Linked DNA regions of Sus scrofa. The protein of the gene in region 2 purifies or fractionates together with the protein of the main gene of each other region. This does not show direct contact. Links are inferred from orthologs where the notes say so. Each region holds a gene or a part of one and is shown on either strand. Other genes may lie near its edges.

Region 1 (7,337 bases), on a different chromosome or scaffold from region 2:
CAACGCCTGATGCTGCCGCCGCCAGGACGACGGACGGGCGCGTCGACTTGGTCAACAGTGTTACCAACAGGTGAGTGTGGGAGTCTCTTTGGTTAAGAACTTTGACGGAAGCTTGTAAAAAAGACAGAGCTGGATACGTGCTCCTCAATTCTAAAAGGACTTCTGATCAACTTAAACACAAGACTGTCCCTGTCCCCAACATTCAGCCGCCTGCCTGCGTCCCCGGGACGCCCAGAGCAGGGGGCCGCCCGCAGCCGCTGGCCTCAGATGCTGTCCATGGCTTTGAACTCGCTGAGGGCCTGCACGGGGTTCACGTGCTTCTTCTGCGAGGCCCTCTTAATCTTGGTCTGGGTCTCGTCCTGCTTCTCTCTCTTCACCAAGGGCTTCTTCTCAGGCGCCTTCATCTTCCAGGACACGGCGGGGAGGTTGAGGGAGGCCATGCCCTGGGACTTCTGGTACTTGGTGGAGGCCACGTAGGAGGCCTTCACCGTCTGCACCACGGCGTTCATCAGGTTCTTGGCGGCCTGGATCAGGGACATGGCGCTGTCCACCTAGAGGGCACAGCAGGGAGGAGCCGTGAGCGCGGGCGGCCCGGGGCCCGGCCGCAGCGCCCCCCGCTGCTGCTGGGACCCGACGCCCGCAGGTGCCTGTGCTGCGGCTGGCGAGCGGGGGGAGGCCTGAGAAAAGCTCGCGGACCGTTAGCTCACTGCCCCCTCAACCGCATGATTCCCTGGGGGCGCGGGCTCTGCTGCAGGCGCGGGGGTGGCGGCGGCAGCACTGGAACCGCAAGCACCGGCAACAGCCCTGCCTCGCGACAGAAAGCCCACGGTCAGGGCCCGGGGGTGTCCCCGCTCAGAGCCTCTGCCTTACTGCTCCCCAGGGACGGGGCATCTCAGTTGTAGCAGGTGCACACGTGCTGAGTACGTGTGAAAGGCAACGCCGTGGGGTCCTTAGCAGAAGCCACAGGGAATCAGTGGAGGGAGGCGTTTCTCCTGCCCAAGGTGACAAGGGGTCCAGACCTGTGACGCGGTAGACAGACCCAGGAGGAGACGCTACCGGCACACCTGGAGGATGGGGAAGGTTCGAGGAAACCTATCTGCGTGACCTCGGCAATTTCTCAAAGGGTTCCATTTCTCTCGGAGGGAAGAAAAGTGAGGAAGCTACAAGCACTTTCTCCCAGGGAGCGGCCCGCACAGGCCGCGCTCAGCAGAGCTGCGGTTCTGCAGGGAGCGGCCCGGAGCAGCCCTTGGCCTCCGAGGACCGAGAGGAAACTCGCCGGCAGGGCCCACGCATGACTCTTCCCAGATGGAACTTACCCCGGAGACGACCAGCTCCCCGCCCAGGTTCTGCACCTCGGCCTTGACTTTGCTGCAGATGTTGAGCTGGTGGCAGTAGAGGGCGATGCGCTGCAGGTAGGCCAGCAGGTCCTGCTTACAGGCCGAGTCCGGGCACTGCGGGAGAGCGGGCTCAGCACCAGGCCCCCGGCCCCCCCCCCCCCCCACCCCGCCGGCTATTTCTCAGAGGCCCCGCGTGCTCCTGGCTGGAACAGAGGGCCAGAGCCAGGAGTCACCCCAGGACCCAGGGCCGTGACTGCCGGGGCTACCCTCAGCAAGGCTGCTTCTGGAGAAAAGGCAGCGCCCTGGGGCTGCCTGAGACCGTCCCCGCAGCTCCTCAATGACCCCCACTGTAGCCACCTAATGACACGAGAGTCACTTCAGGCCACGACAGAGAATGTGAGTGGCTCAGAGCACACAGCACGTGGGGGCCGGGAGGGCCTGCCCCGTCCCGGGAAAGCGCTGTCTTGCTACCAGAGCTCAGGGCCAGCTTAGGAGGGCCCCCCACAGAAGGAGGGGTGCACCCCCTCCTGGGAGGCTGGGGAGCAGGGAGGGCGAGAGTGGTTCAATTAAGCCTGCAGCCCCTGCGGGAGAGCGAGGACTTGATTCTGAGCAGGGCAGCGCCACAGCTCATTCAATGATTGCGCAGAAAGACGGCGCTGGCCCCCGAGTGGAGATGGGGCGAGGAGGGGGGTGCCCCGTGACTCCGTGTGGCCAGGGGAAGCGGGGGCTCAGTACTGGATTATTAGAACAAAGAGGGCAGTGGAGGACCCGCTGTACTGCAAGCTGAGCTGAGCCACAGCGTCTCTGACCACATTGGAAGCATGAGGGGAATGTACGGTGGCCTCTCCAGGACAGAGGAACATGCTGCTCTGAAGAATGAAGGGGCCAAGGCTGGGTGGCTGAGCACGGAGACATCTGTCCCCAGGTGGGCACATCAGCCTTCCAAAGCACCAGCCAAAAGGGCTCCTGATTTTTACGTGACACAAAGCCACAGAGGCTCTCCTACACCTGGTTTCAGTGTATTATTAGGACCTGCCCAGAGTGTCTCCTGAAGCCAAATGAGAGCCATAAACACCAGCAGAGGGTGGTCTGAGCAGTCGTGTCCACCAAGGACTGCGGGGCCCAGGCACCTGCTCCAGATGAGCTTTAACGCAAACTGGGCCTGCCTTATAAGACGAGTCGGAGGAGGAAGAGGAATTGAGAAATCCTTACAACGACGCTGATACAGAACCGAGCTGGGTGGCAGGTTAGGAGCAGTGCTTCATGAGAAAACACTGTTACCCCCACTGGGCTGCCTGAGCCCCAGGATGAACCCGGAGGCCCACGGGCCAGCCCGTCACTCACGTGGTCTGCGATGGTACGGCCGAGCTTATCCATCCGGGATCCTGCCTCGGCAATCTTCTTGGCGGCGCTGATCACGTCGGATGTGTTTTTGAGCGGTCCTTTACCTCTGGAGCAAGCGGACAAGGAGGGCTGTAGCACCCGAAGCCCCCGCCCCGTGGGGGGGGGGGGGGAAGGGGGGGCTGGGCTGCTGGGCTCACCGGGTGAAGTCCGTCATCTCCATCATGATCATGCACATCTGCTTGGCCAGCACGATGATGTCGTTACCGCTGTCGTCCCACTTGGACACTTCGGCGTCCAGCTTGCTCTTTTCTTCCTGGAAGCTGGCCACCTGTTCCGCGATCTTCGCTTTTTGCTCCTGGGGAAGCTGAGCCATGATCGCCTAAAATCAGAAGCACAGAAAGCTCTTACATAAAGAGAAGATGAAGTTCCCACAGTGCATTAGGCAAGAATATTTCCACCAAGCGATCTATGACACAGGTAGGATAATGCTGTAATAGCTTTCATTTTGCTCAAAGGGCCATTTCTTCTCATTTTGTGCAGAAGTTTAGAGCAGCCTGAATTGCCGACCCCCTTTGAAGACCGAGCTGTAGCGTGGATCAAGACAGGGATGAGGGCAGAAGGCCCAGGCCGAGCCTCACCATCAACCTGCACAGGGACACAACCTGCTTTGCTTAATGCTTTAGAAGTGTCACCCTGCCTCCTGTCGTGGGGAGAAGACGAGGACTCGTGTCCCTGGCAGGCCCTGAAGGGCCCTTCCTGTGGCCCAGTCCACCTCCAGCTTTTCAAGGTGACCTGGAAGTAGTTTTGGAACGTACACTTTACAGAAGGAAAGTGGGCACAAGAGAAGCTGCTGCCGAGGGAGCATTTTAGGGACGTGAGAGGCCACCTAGAGCTCATGGCAGCAGCACCCGGAGGCCGGCTGCGCAGCCCCAGCCTCAGGCCCTGTGTTCCTCCCTCTCCAGTCCGCTTCCCGAATGCTCAGGACCGGGGCGGGGTGGGGGCTTAAGGCAGGGAGGTACCGCTTTTCCAGAATGATTTCTAAAGGGTGAAAAAAGACTCCTTAGAAATATTTCTTGGCATCCTCCCAAAAACATAAATGCAACTGATTGAAGACGTAATGACTTAAGTGAACGCAGTGGCGCTGGATTTCGTGAATGCGCTACTGTGTTGTTTTTCACCCATGAATAATTAAATAGTTCATGCCCGTGGTATCACTGAGATAGGCAAAGAGAGCCACCTTTTTTCGACTTTTTTAACAAACGCTGCATTGACCAGATCCCGGGGCTTTCGGGACCCAGGGCCCCTCGTACACCAAAGCCCAGGGCACCGCGAGGAGGCCCATATGCTCCTGCCCTGCTTCCAGCTGGGGAAACATTTCGGAGGAACCCCCAGGTTAACCACAGAGGACAAGAACTATGTTCTCGACAGTGAGTTTCCTAGAAAAAAAAAGGCCAGACGCGAGAGGAGTGGGAAGGTCTGCAGGCCGAGGCGAAGCGGGGCCTCACCCGGGCACTCTGGCCGGCGATCAGCTGGTCGTCCTCTGTCTGGACACTGGTCCTGCTGCGGACATCGAAGTCTTCCGTCTCGAAGTCCGAGTCGTCCAGCTCCTCAGGGGTCTGCCACCAGACAGAAAACACAGTGAAGCACAAGCCTGGGCCTCCAGCCGCCCCGAGCCTCTGGGTCCACAGCCCCAGGGCCCAACAGACGGAGAGCCAGGATTTCCTGCAGGATTCCACGGCGGAGGAACATCACGTTAAAACGGCTCAGTGTTCGTCTGAGAGCCTGCCTCACTGACCACGAGCCAGGCGGCCCCTTCAACGAGCAGCAGCAACGGCACCAGGCCGCCGCTTCCCAAAGGACCCAGGGGTCCTTTACCGCAGTGAGGGCTGCAAGTGCTGCCAGGGCGTCCAGACTCTGCTTGACAAAGCTTTGCGGTTCGAAATGGACTTCGCCAAGGCCTGCACCTTAAGACAAAGGTGAGACGCGTCCTGGGTGGAAAAGCTACTGGAGTAAAACACAAGTGTTTCCTACAGCATTAAGCAGACCCTTATTCTAACTTTCCCACTTTACGATAAAAAAGAAAACTAAATGAACTAATAGTGGGCCTTCTTACAGGGTAGCAAATGCTGCTTTGAGGGGTAAAAATAGACAATGTATTTTCACGCACTGACTTTATCTAAGGCCCAGAGCGAACCTGGCGGCTACGGCCCGAGGAAACACCAAGGGGACTGACGGCCGGCCCTACCTCTGCTTTAACTGTGAAATAAAATTCGCATGTTGTGCATCCTCCAGCCGCTCCTGATTAGCTGCTGACTTGAAACATAATGTCATCTTCTGGAAGTTATCAGCCGCAGGGCAGCAGGCAGAACAGCTGGGGCTGGCTCTTGGCCCAGCCGGCCGGCCTGTGACAGGAGGGCAGCGAGGCGAGTCCCTCATCTGCACCAGGACCCAGTCCAAGCCCAGCCCAGGCCTCGCTGTGAGGCTCAAACGAGAAGCCGTGGGAGGAAGCTCTGAAACCGCCAGGGGTATGCTGGGTTTGTCCCTCCCTCACTGAAGGGGAGGACAGTGGGGGTCTTGCGAGGCACCAGTGTGGATGCCAGAGCCTGGAGTTGTGTTGCCATGGGCCATTTAAATTTTTTTTTTTTTGTACCCACAGCCTGGGCCAAGGATTGAACCTCTACTACAGCTGTGACAGTGCTGAACCCTTAAGCACTAGGCCACCAGGGAACTCCTGCCCTTGGCCACTTTAATCCGGGGTCCCCGACACCTTCAGCCTCTGAGTGCTCCAAGGGGAGCCTCCTAACACAAGCTCCACCTCCCCACCTTTCTGGACGGCCCGTCACAGACCCACGAAAACCAAACATCTCCTCTTCATTCACTGATTACGTGTCTGCCAGCCACTCTTCTGGGCCGTGGAGGTACAAAATAGAACAGACAAAACCCCCTGCTCTCACATGTATTCCAATGGGAGACATGACCAACGCAATAAGGGGAATTGCAAGACATCAAGGCAAGTGATCAGCGCGATCAAGCAGCAGGAAGACCGTCGTTTTATACGGGTGCTCAGGAAAGGTTGAGTGAGATGGAGACGCTGGCCCCAGACTTGAAGACGGTGAAGGTGGGAGCACAGGAGGGGGTCACCCACACGAAGCCTGGAGCCGGGTCTGCCGGGGAAGTGGACGACAGCAAAGGCCGTTCACGGCCCTCGCGTGGCAGGGTCAGCTGGAGCCCTGGGATCCCAGGAAGGCATAGCGGGAGGTGAGGGACAGAGGTGACAGGCTCCGCTCCTGGCAGGCCTCGTGGGCCAGGGTAAGGACGGAGGGCCGGGGTAAGGACGAAGGGACAGGCAGCCGTCGGAGAGGACTGAGCATTCTGGGTGCTTGGCGGCGGGGGAGACTGCCCGACCCAGGGCTGCGGATGTGGAGCCTGGCTGAGAAGCAACTGCATGAAGCCAGGGAGAGATGCCGGCGGCCTGGAGCAGGGCAGGAATAGTGTCTCGAGTCTCTATTGACGGTGAGGTAGACCCAGTAAGACTTGCAGAGAGATGAGATTCAGGGTATGAGGCAAAAAGCAGAATCAAAGGTGAAGCCAAGGTTGGGGCTGAGCAAGTGGAAGACAGAGCTGCCAGCAGGTGCTGTGAGCAGCCTGGGTGGCGAGACAGGAGCTTGGTCTGATGCGTGAAGCGGGGTGGGGTGGGCGGGCAGGGTGGCAGGTGAACCAGGGGCACAGCAGAGTCGACCGCTTGCTGGTCTCTCCCGCCTTTATGCACCAAGGGAACGAGCACAGTCAGATGCTGAGACGACAAGTGACAAGGGGTCCTGGCAAAGAGACAGCAGGAGGGTGGCCAGGTTTCTCACAGTCGCAGAAACGGTGGCGTGTGTGTGTGTGTGTGTGTGTGTGTGTGTGCGCGCGCGCCCCGGAGGAAGGGGCTGGAGGAAATGGGCTGAGGATGGCCGCTGCCAGCACGGGGACATCCACGGTGAGGGGAGGAGGCAGGGGACATGGGCACAGGCGTGGCAGGAGCAGACGTGCACACTGCTCAGCAGCCCTAGTGAGAGGGCCCCACAGCTGGCCAGGGAGGCTGGGGCACAGGTGGGCAAGTGCCAGCAGGCCGCTGCCCTGGGCACCCAGGGCCCCCTGGCAATGCCGGGTGCGGCGGCCCCGCTCAAGATAGCTGCACTTGTGTGCGCCAGGCCCCATTAGGGCTGCATTTTGCACGGCAAGTAAGAGGAAGTAAGGGGTCAGAGGAGAGACCACGGACGAACCACAGCCTGCGAGCTGAAAAGGCCTGAGGCAGGACTTGAGGGGCAGAGGGAGGGGTGCAAGTGGGGAGGGCCAACCCACTGCACACTGGGATGACGCCGAGGATGCGGGATGCACAGTGCCGGAGGGAGGGAGGGAGGGAGGTGACCGGGGGGCATCCTGACAGACACGGGGAGGATGAAGGTACCGGCGGTGACAAGGACCAGCCAAGACCAGGCAGGGGAGGTTGAGGTCAGGCCCGGACCTGGGGACACTGAGAGCGCTGGGGCTGGAAGGAGGATTCCTGAATTAAGCAGGACAGCGAGGGAGACCTGACCTGGGATGCTGCCGACCAGCCTTGTCCTTGCTCCGGGCCCTCCCAGCTTCTATCTCGCCAGGCTGGCCGGGGCCGCT
Region 2 (7,832 bases):
CATTAAAAAATACAAACTATCAAAAAAGAATTCCCTCTTAAAATCTCAGTCCAAACTTTTAGAAGAAGGTCAGGGCGGACTTTGATGAAGGTATGAAAGTCAAAACATACTCTGTAAGGAAATTCCGAACTTGCAATTAAGGCCTAAGAATATGCGTGTGCGTGTGTGTAATTTTGTGTGTGTATATATATATCATTTAAAATATGTTTATAATAATAGTTTAAGATACACAAATTATTTTTCAAATTGCACCTAGTACATTTGCAATTCACCACATCATAGTAAAGGCCACATGCCACAAATTTTAAAAGGGCAAAGATATGCATAAGTAGAATAAACTATGAACACCAACTATGCTAATTTTCCTTACTTTTACAGGAACTTATTACCAAGACATGCCAATCAAATAAACATGGAGAATACATATATGTTTTTTACTTAAAATGATCATTGTGTCCTAGATTATCCATTCTAAAACAGAGCTTTTTGGTTTTTTTAAAGTTTCATGTATTAAATATTACCATTCTCAAAGTCTTTACCTAATAGGTGAAAAGCGCCTATGGTTTGTGCATTTTTTTTCATAAGTCCTCATCCAGGATTGAAAGCAGGACCTATGTGATAAGACTAATAATCTAGAATACCTGTGAACACAAAGGTGATGTCCTTGATGCTTTATAATTCACACAGTGTATTTAAATTAGAACAATGGAGCTATGCAATTAAAATGTGAACTAGAAAAACAAAGCAGGTTCTAATCTATTAATTACTGGATGGGTGGTAAAAGTAAAATTGATTTTTTTTCTGCTGATAAATCTAAGCATTTAAAAGTCACTTGTACAGTTTAAAAGGAAAGCTTGTCATAACTTTCTGATATCCCTTGATCAGTGAAGTTTAATGCTCAAGTTCTGCTTTTTTTTTAATAGGACAATACTAATGCCTCAGGCTAAAATACGGAGGAAAATAGAGAAAACCTTAAAGCTGAATACGATGATATGCAAAATTGACTCGAATTATGTAAATCTAGGTAAGAGAATACCTCAACTAGTAAAGAATCTCTCAAAGTGAAAAAAAGGAAGTGTTCAAAGTAAAACAAAGAATACTTTAGTTAATTAAAGGCCTGGCGTCCTTTTGAATATTCAATTATTCTTCAATTGGTCTGAAAAAATAAGGCAGTTGGTATTTACACTAATAACCTACTCATCTGCTGTTCTAAAACTCTTGAGTCCTTAGATTGGCCTGAGTCGGGGCGGGGGGAATTAGATTTTTAACAGCAGATGACTGCAGAGGGGCCATATTCACCTTGCAGATAGATCTGGTTATTCTGGTGTGTAAAGCAGACCATTAGGACAAAGTCATTTCCAACCTCAGTGTGTACAATCCACATGGTGCACTTAACCCTAAAACAACCCAAAAACTGATGTTGCATAAACTCTGCTTCCACTTCTAATGACCTTGCAAATCACTCAGTGTTATTGCTTGACTTGCACCAGGAATTAAAAGTCTGCCAAACAACTCGATGACAAAGTTTTAATCTCTCCATTCCTCAAGGTTTTAGAAAAATCAACATGACGTTGGCCTGGAAGAAACTGAGAAAGAACGTACAAGGGGAAAGGGCAAGCCCATTGTTTGGCTTTTCAATATAATACTTTTTTAATGCTTAAGGAAACAAAAAAGAATATGACCTAAAAATTCCGCACCTGGCCTCTAGGCAGAGGACTCAAAGAGGACAGGAGACTGCTCCCGTGGCACCACACTTAAGTCCCATGTTATTTGTGGTAACAGTCCTAACTTCACTGCGAAGTATTCAATTAAAACTCACTTTCAGATCAAAAAGTTAGTGTGCATACCACCACTTCACTCACACTCTTGGGATTTTATGTCATCTTTAAATAAGTAAGACCACTCCATGATATCCAAAACATGGTTTTTAAAGATTTTTCTAAATCTATGTATGATACAGGTTTAAAAAAAAAAATCCGAAGTTCTTAAATTTATCTTGCTTTCCCCTTAACTTTAAACATTTGAAGTAGCGCTTTTTTTCTTCTTCCCTTTCAGCCTAACTCCGTCAATAAACCCCATTTTCAAAGAAGAAACAATAAATGAAGTGACAGGAGGTGAAAGAATGAGGAGTGTGCACTCCAAGAATAAAGGGTGGTTTTATAACAGGAGGTACTTTTGTTAGCAAGTGACTGGCAGGTCTCCTCCCCCAAGTTAGAAAAAATTCCATCCACTCCCCAAAAGTGCAGAGGCCAAAAAATGTCTAGTCTACTAGTTCTGAAACCCCAGAGTCAGAAGAGAATCGAGGTGGGGGCGGAATGGCGAGTGGGGGAAGGGGAGAGGGAACGACCAGCAGGAGACGAAAGAACAAAAGGAGAAACCCAAGAAAGGAGAAAGGAACGACGGGACCCAGGCGGCCCGAGAGCCAGTGGGAGGGAGGGAGCCCGAAAGTGGGCGAGCACGACCCGGGGGAGGAGAGCACGGAGCCGGGACGGCTCCTCCGCGCACCATGGACAGGGCTCGGCACCGCCACGGCCCACACCCCTCTAGGGGGCAGCGGGAGGGAGCGCGAGAGACCGCGGGCGCCGGTCCCGTCCCGCCCCCGGCGCCCGCGGCCGGAGCGCGCCAGGCCCTGACCCGTGAAGACCATGGAGGGGAGCGATCCGTACCATCTGTTCCTTTCCCGGTCGCCCCGGGCGCATCGGCACATCCCAGCCGCGCCCGCGCTTTTTGGAGCGACCGTCAGCCGGACACCCCCAGCCGCCGGCGGTGCGCTGGGGGTCACTTGAAAGGATTTCCCCGGAGACTCTGCGGGCTAGTGGAGGGCGGACCCGCCCCTCGCCCGCAGCCGCTTGGGGACCTCACCACCCTCGGGGGCAGACTCTGGACCCCTGGCCGGTCTCCGCCCAGCGCGGGGGTAGCGGCCGCGGCGCACGGCTCAGTTCCCCGCTACCTGTCTGGCGAGCAGGCAGGGGCCTCGCGGCATCCTCCGACCGGACGCCGCGGGAAAGTTGGGAGCTAGGCCGGGCTGGGGACCGGAGGCGCGAAGTGGGAAAGGAGCCTGTGACCTGCCTGGAGCAGGTGCTTCCTGCTGCGGAGGAGACTCCCAGTACCATTTCCAGGGGAAAGCTGTCTGGCACTCTCCCCAAGGCGTGAAAAGTGCAGTCTCCCGGTAAAGGCGCCCCCAAGACGCACTCAGGGCAGAGGCAGCGGGACAGAAAAAGAATAATAGCCGAGTAACGGAACTTCTCCCCGCGCGGCAGGATAAGGGACCTGCGGGGCCCAGGGGCTGGATGCGGAGTCGCCGACCCGAGCAGACTTTTGGGGCAAAGGGGCGAGGTTTTCTTTCCAGGTAAGAGCGAAACAGAAAACTGATAAGGCAGAAAAACAAAAATAGGAAGCAACTCTGGGCTGGGGGTAAAGACAATAGGACAGAGGAGCCCTCGGGCACCGGGAGGCGCGCGGGTACCAGGGTGGGGTAGGTAGAGGCAAGTCCCGTAACTAAGACATCAGAGTGAGAATTCTTTCTGCAAACTCGCGACCTATCCCTGCAGAAATAAACAAAAAAATTGGAGCAAAGTGCAAGGCGAGGGGCGAGAAGCTTAGGAAACTGCAAAACCAGAGCCCTATCCTACCTCAGTCTTCTACTGCCTAGAAACACCCGCCGCGAGCTCGCCCGACCCCGCTGGAGGAGCAGAGGGGGCCCCGGATTAGCCTCTTTGCGACCCGCCAAGAGTGGCGCGGGAGACTGGTTGGCCCCAGCAGCCCTGTCCCTGCGCACGGCCCAAGCCTCGTGTCTGCGCAGCAACCGTCCGCGCGGTGCGGCACCTCCCTTCCCGGGTGCGCAGCCCGGCCCCGCAGCGGCGCGGGGAACAAAGGGACCCGGCGCTGCCTGCCCCACCCCGCCCGCAGCCCGGCCCGCGGGGACCGCTGCGTACCTGAAGCAGAGCCGCCAGGAGCGGCAGCAGGGTCCGCGGCGCTCCCAGTATCCGGCACATGGAGGCGGAGAGGGGCCGAGCGAGGAGCCGGAGGCGTCGGCGGCAGCAGCGGCAGCACCAACAGCGGCGCGGAGAGACGGCTCCAGGCAGTTTCCACCCCCTTCCCTTCCCCTCCCCACCCCACCCCCTTCGCCGCCGCTCTCTGCTCCCCGCCAATGGAGAGAGAGCTGATGACAAATAGCGGGCCGCGGAGTCGGGACTCGCACCACGAGTAATAAAACAGACCTAGAGATCAAGGAGCTGGGGAGGGGCGGGAGAGAAGGCGGGCGTGCGCGTGAGTGCGTGTGTGTGTGTGTGTGTGTGTGTGTGTGTGTGGCCGCGGTGGCAGCGCAGGCGGCTCTGCTCTGGCCCAAAGCGCAGCGGAAGCCAGGAGGGATGCAGGCGGCGGAGACCTTGGCCAGTGGAGGATGCGGAGGTGGAAGTGGAGCGGCTGGCGCTCCCCAGGAGCTCCGCAACGCGAGGTTTCGGGCTCGGGTTTTGCTTCCTCCGGGTCCCTTCTCCAGGGCCGCTCTGCAAGATGAAGACGCGGGCGAGAGCGCCGCGGGGAGGGCGCTCTGGGCCGCGCGCGCTGCGCCCACAAAGGGCAGCAGTCCCGCCGCCTGGCTCCTCTGCTGCGTGGGAGGCAAGGACCGCTTCTCCGCTCCCCTTTCCGGTCCCCCTGAGAGTTGGAGACTATTCTCCGGCCTCTGCCGCGCGGGAGTGAGGCCAGGGGCCCGCCCGGCCGCTCCCGCCGCGGCTCCGTCCCGCGCAGCTGCCGCTACGGCCGCCCCTGCTGCCCGCGCGCCGGCACCCGCCCGCGGGTCCTCGCCCCTTTCGGCTCACTCGCGCGCGCCGCCCCCACCCCCCGCCGCCGCCCGCGCGCCCCTCTCGGCCTCCGCGAGCGCGACTAGGGTGAGCCGCCGCCACCGCTCTCCCCGCGCGCTGCCCGGCTGCGCAGCCAGCTCCCCGCTCCGATCCCCTCCCGCTGCCGCCGCCCTCGCCCCCGCCTCCCTCCTCCGCCGCGGAGCTTCCCCGCCCGCGTCGTGGCCAATCGGAGGCCACCAAGCTGCGGCGGTAGCCGGCGGGATCCGCGGCAGCCGCCCGCCCCCGCCCCACCGAAGCGCCCCATTTTTGCTGCAGCCCGAGGGGGGCCGCGGGAGGGAAACCTGGGGATGTGCAGAGCACTGCCCGGCAGGTGTAGGGGCTGCGGGAAAGAAAAGAACTTGCGCCGGAACTTGATCGGTGGCAGGTTCATCTTTGGACAGCGATGGGGCATCAGATAGATGTTAGGCATTGAAGGGGGAATGCTTTCTTCACAGCCTAACGCACGCTTCGCTTCCCTTTCTGTTTGGTCATTCTTTCAAGATAGACCGTTTTTCTGGGCAGGGACAGACACAGCAAACTAGCGACGCGGGCAAAGCCCATGCTGGCCATTGTTGTCTGCGGCGCTTGCCAGGAGCCACCTGCGGGCGGGCAGGGCGGAGGCCCATCGGCTTCTCTGAAGCGCTCGCACCTCTCCCTCCTTTGCGGATGTGCTGGACCAGCCCAAGTTTCTGTGTGCTTGTTTTGTTGTTATTCTTTCTGGGGGTTTGAGAGTGCGTGTTATTCTGTTTGAAACCTCCCATTTTCTGTTTCTGCTCCTTAGTGGTGCTGTTCACATTTTTTAGCAAACGGTTGAAGGGACTTTGACTCCCTCCCTACACCACCCGCAACAACGAAAGAAAGAAAAAGAAATGGGGACACAACCTAAAGGCCAGAACTTGCCGTGAAAAATAGGATTATCTAAGAGATGAAATGACTGATTCAGAGTTCAATCCAAGTAAAGGATTTTTGCTTCCTCCTTTTGAGGCACGGAACTTGGAGTGGAACACAAAAAGTGAGAGACTTTACAAGTTGGGGTCACAAGCATTTGTGGAATGGAGGGAGGGGTGAGGAGCAATTGATTTTGGCAAAGTGATAAGGTTTTATCAGAACTTTTTTTTTAGATTTTTTCAAGTAAATGAAAATATCGGTTTTTTCCTAAGGGTTTTAGCACTTCGGAGGTCATCCACCTTCTTTGCTTATTGAACTTTACTCTTCTGCTTCGGGTAACTGAAGTATTAACATTATTTGAGTTTCAGGATACTGATCATTTGAGAACTTGATAATGAATCTAAAAATCAAGTAAAAATTTATTTGATGTAAGTAATGCAGCTTTTAATGTGCTGTTGCTGGCTAGGCTTTTAAATCAGTATGCAAACGGAAGTTTATTCAATTTTAATTAAAACATAATATCGTCAGCCTTCAAAAAATGAAACTCAAAAAAAATTTTTCTGAATTTTCTTTCCAAAAGGATAAGGAAGAATATGTTAATTACATTTAAAGACAAAAGGCTCCATTTGTTCTTTTGCTTACTTCTTTGCTAGATATTGTCACACTATTGCCAATCAGCCTAAAATTTCTCCTTGCCATAGGGTATTCATAAATTCCACTTTCAATAAGTCATGCATAGTAGTAAAACATTTAGTGGCAAAATGGGGATAGTATTTGTTGTGTACCAAAGTGGGATTTATAAATCCCATCTCCATGCCTAAGAATTAAGCTTTGACCCTGGACTTGAGGCCTTAGTTGCATCCTCACCACTCCCAACAGTAGCCATTGATGTTTATTGCCATTCTGATTAATTTAAATGTAGAAGAGATTTCAACATGAATAACTATTGCTTGTTAGTATTATTTGCTTAAAGTTTTAAACCGTGTGCCCCTTACAAATTGAACTCTTATTATGACTTCAGAATCTGCTTTGGAATGCCTGTCAGTCAACTTATGCTCTGATTGCAGTAGTTTTCAATCAGATAGGTAAGCACTTGGCAGCATTTGTTTTTGGGTTTTTTTTTTAATTTTATGTCCAACTTCCAGGCCTCTCACTCTTCAATGGCTGTGGATAGCTTTGGAATTCTGCCTGAGTTTCCTGGCTGATCACATGGACAGCCAAATCTTGCTAGTCAGACTGATCAGGAGAAGGTATAGCCTTTTCTAAAATTATCTTATTGGAGATTTGTGCATCCATTTGATGCTAATGCAGGTGGATCTAGTGTTGACTTTGGCATCCAACACTAATGGTACTTCCACTGCATCATTCTGAAGGTAATCTAATGGGGCCTTTCATTTCTCTGGGCAAGTGGTAACCCAACTATCAGGTTTTCAGCTTCTGCTCAAAGCACTGCCAGTTTGAAAACTGATTTTCTATCCACTTGCACAGCTCCGGGACTGCAGGGGCCTAGGCGGTAACCCAGAGAAACAGTGTGATTGTGGGGGGAGAAGGTGGAAGGCGGGAAAGACCAGCAAAATAATCATTAAAACTAAGGCTGGGCTCATGCACTGAAAATCAACCTAATCCCTTATTTTTTGACCCATGCGCTGCTGCTGCTGCTGCCGCCGCCGCCGACTTAACTACAAGTGGTCTGCAAAGGAGAACATGTGCATCAAACATTATGGACAGACTGAATGAATGTTGTTCCTGCAACTCGTAGCAAGTGTTCATATGCATGTAGATGCCATGATGATTCCTTTTTAAACATTCATTTCAAAGAAAAGTCATTGTAACTTTTTGTTCTAGTGTGTATTCTCATACAGGAGATGCAAAGCATACAAATACATCATGTGAGTCTTTTCCTAAAAGGGTCCTCACTTTGGAAAGACATGCAACCAGTGGTTGTCAAGTCTGCACCCACCCCACCACCACGCCCCCACCCCTACACCTCTAGGGCAGGACCCACAATAGTCTTGGCCTCTGACACCAGCCCAGTGTCCTTCCCCAGTGTTACTCAAGATGGTCTTCCACTCTTCCTCTTTCTCTCCCAGTCTCCAGGACAAGCTA

The links. The genes of interacting proteins can lie anywhere in the genome.
Region 1: the proteins of CDH2 (region 2) and CTNNA1 purify together in Homo sapiens (affinity purification with mass spectrometry; 4 studies listed by BioGRID and IntAct, with this or other methods). This does not show direct contact. The link is inferred for Sus scrofa from reciprocal best matches to the Homo sapiens genes CDH2 and CTNNA1.

The regions. Positions count from the first base shown.
Region 1 is NC_010444.4:140,861,934-140,869,270, reverse strand, and holds part of CTNNA1 (catenin alpha-1), read right to left. Parts: intron 4,298-7,337; coding exon 4,187-4,297; intron 3,061-4,186; coding exon 2,879-3,060; intron 2,788-2,878; coding exon 2,682-2,787; intron 1,452-2,681; coding exon 1,317-1,451; intron 552-1,316; coding exon 264-551; 3' UTR 1-263. UniProt on the Homo sapiens protein: Associates with the cytoplasmic domain of a variety of cadherins. The association of catenins to cadherins produces a complex which is linked to the actin filament network, and which seems to be of primary importance for cadherins cell-adhesion properties.
Region 2 is NC_010448.4:112,624,128-112,631,959, forward strand, and holds the start of CDH2 (cadherin-2), read right to left. Parts: upstream 4,947-7,832; 5' UTR 3,996-4,946; coding exon 3,936-3,995; intron 1-3,935. UniProt on the Homo sapiens protein: Calcium-dependent cell adhesion protein; preferentially mediates homotypic cell-cell adhesion by dimerization with a CDH2 chain from another cell. Cadherins may thus contribute to the sorting of heterogeneous cell types.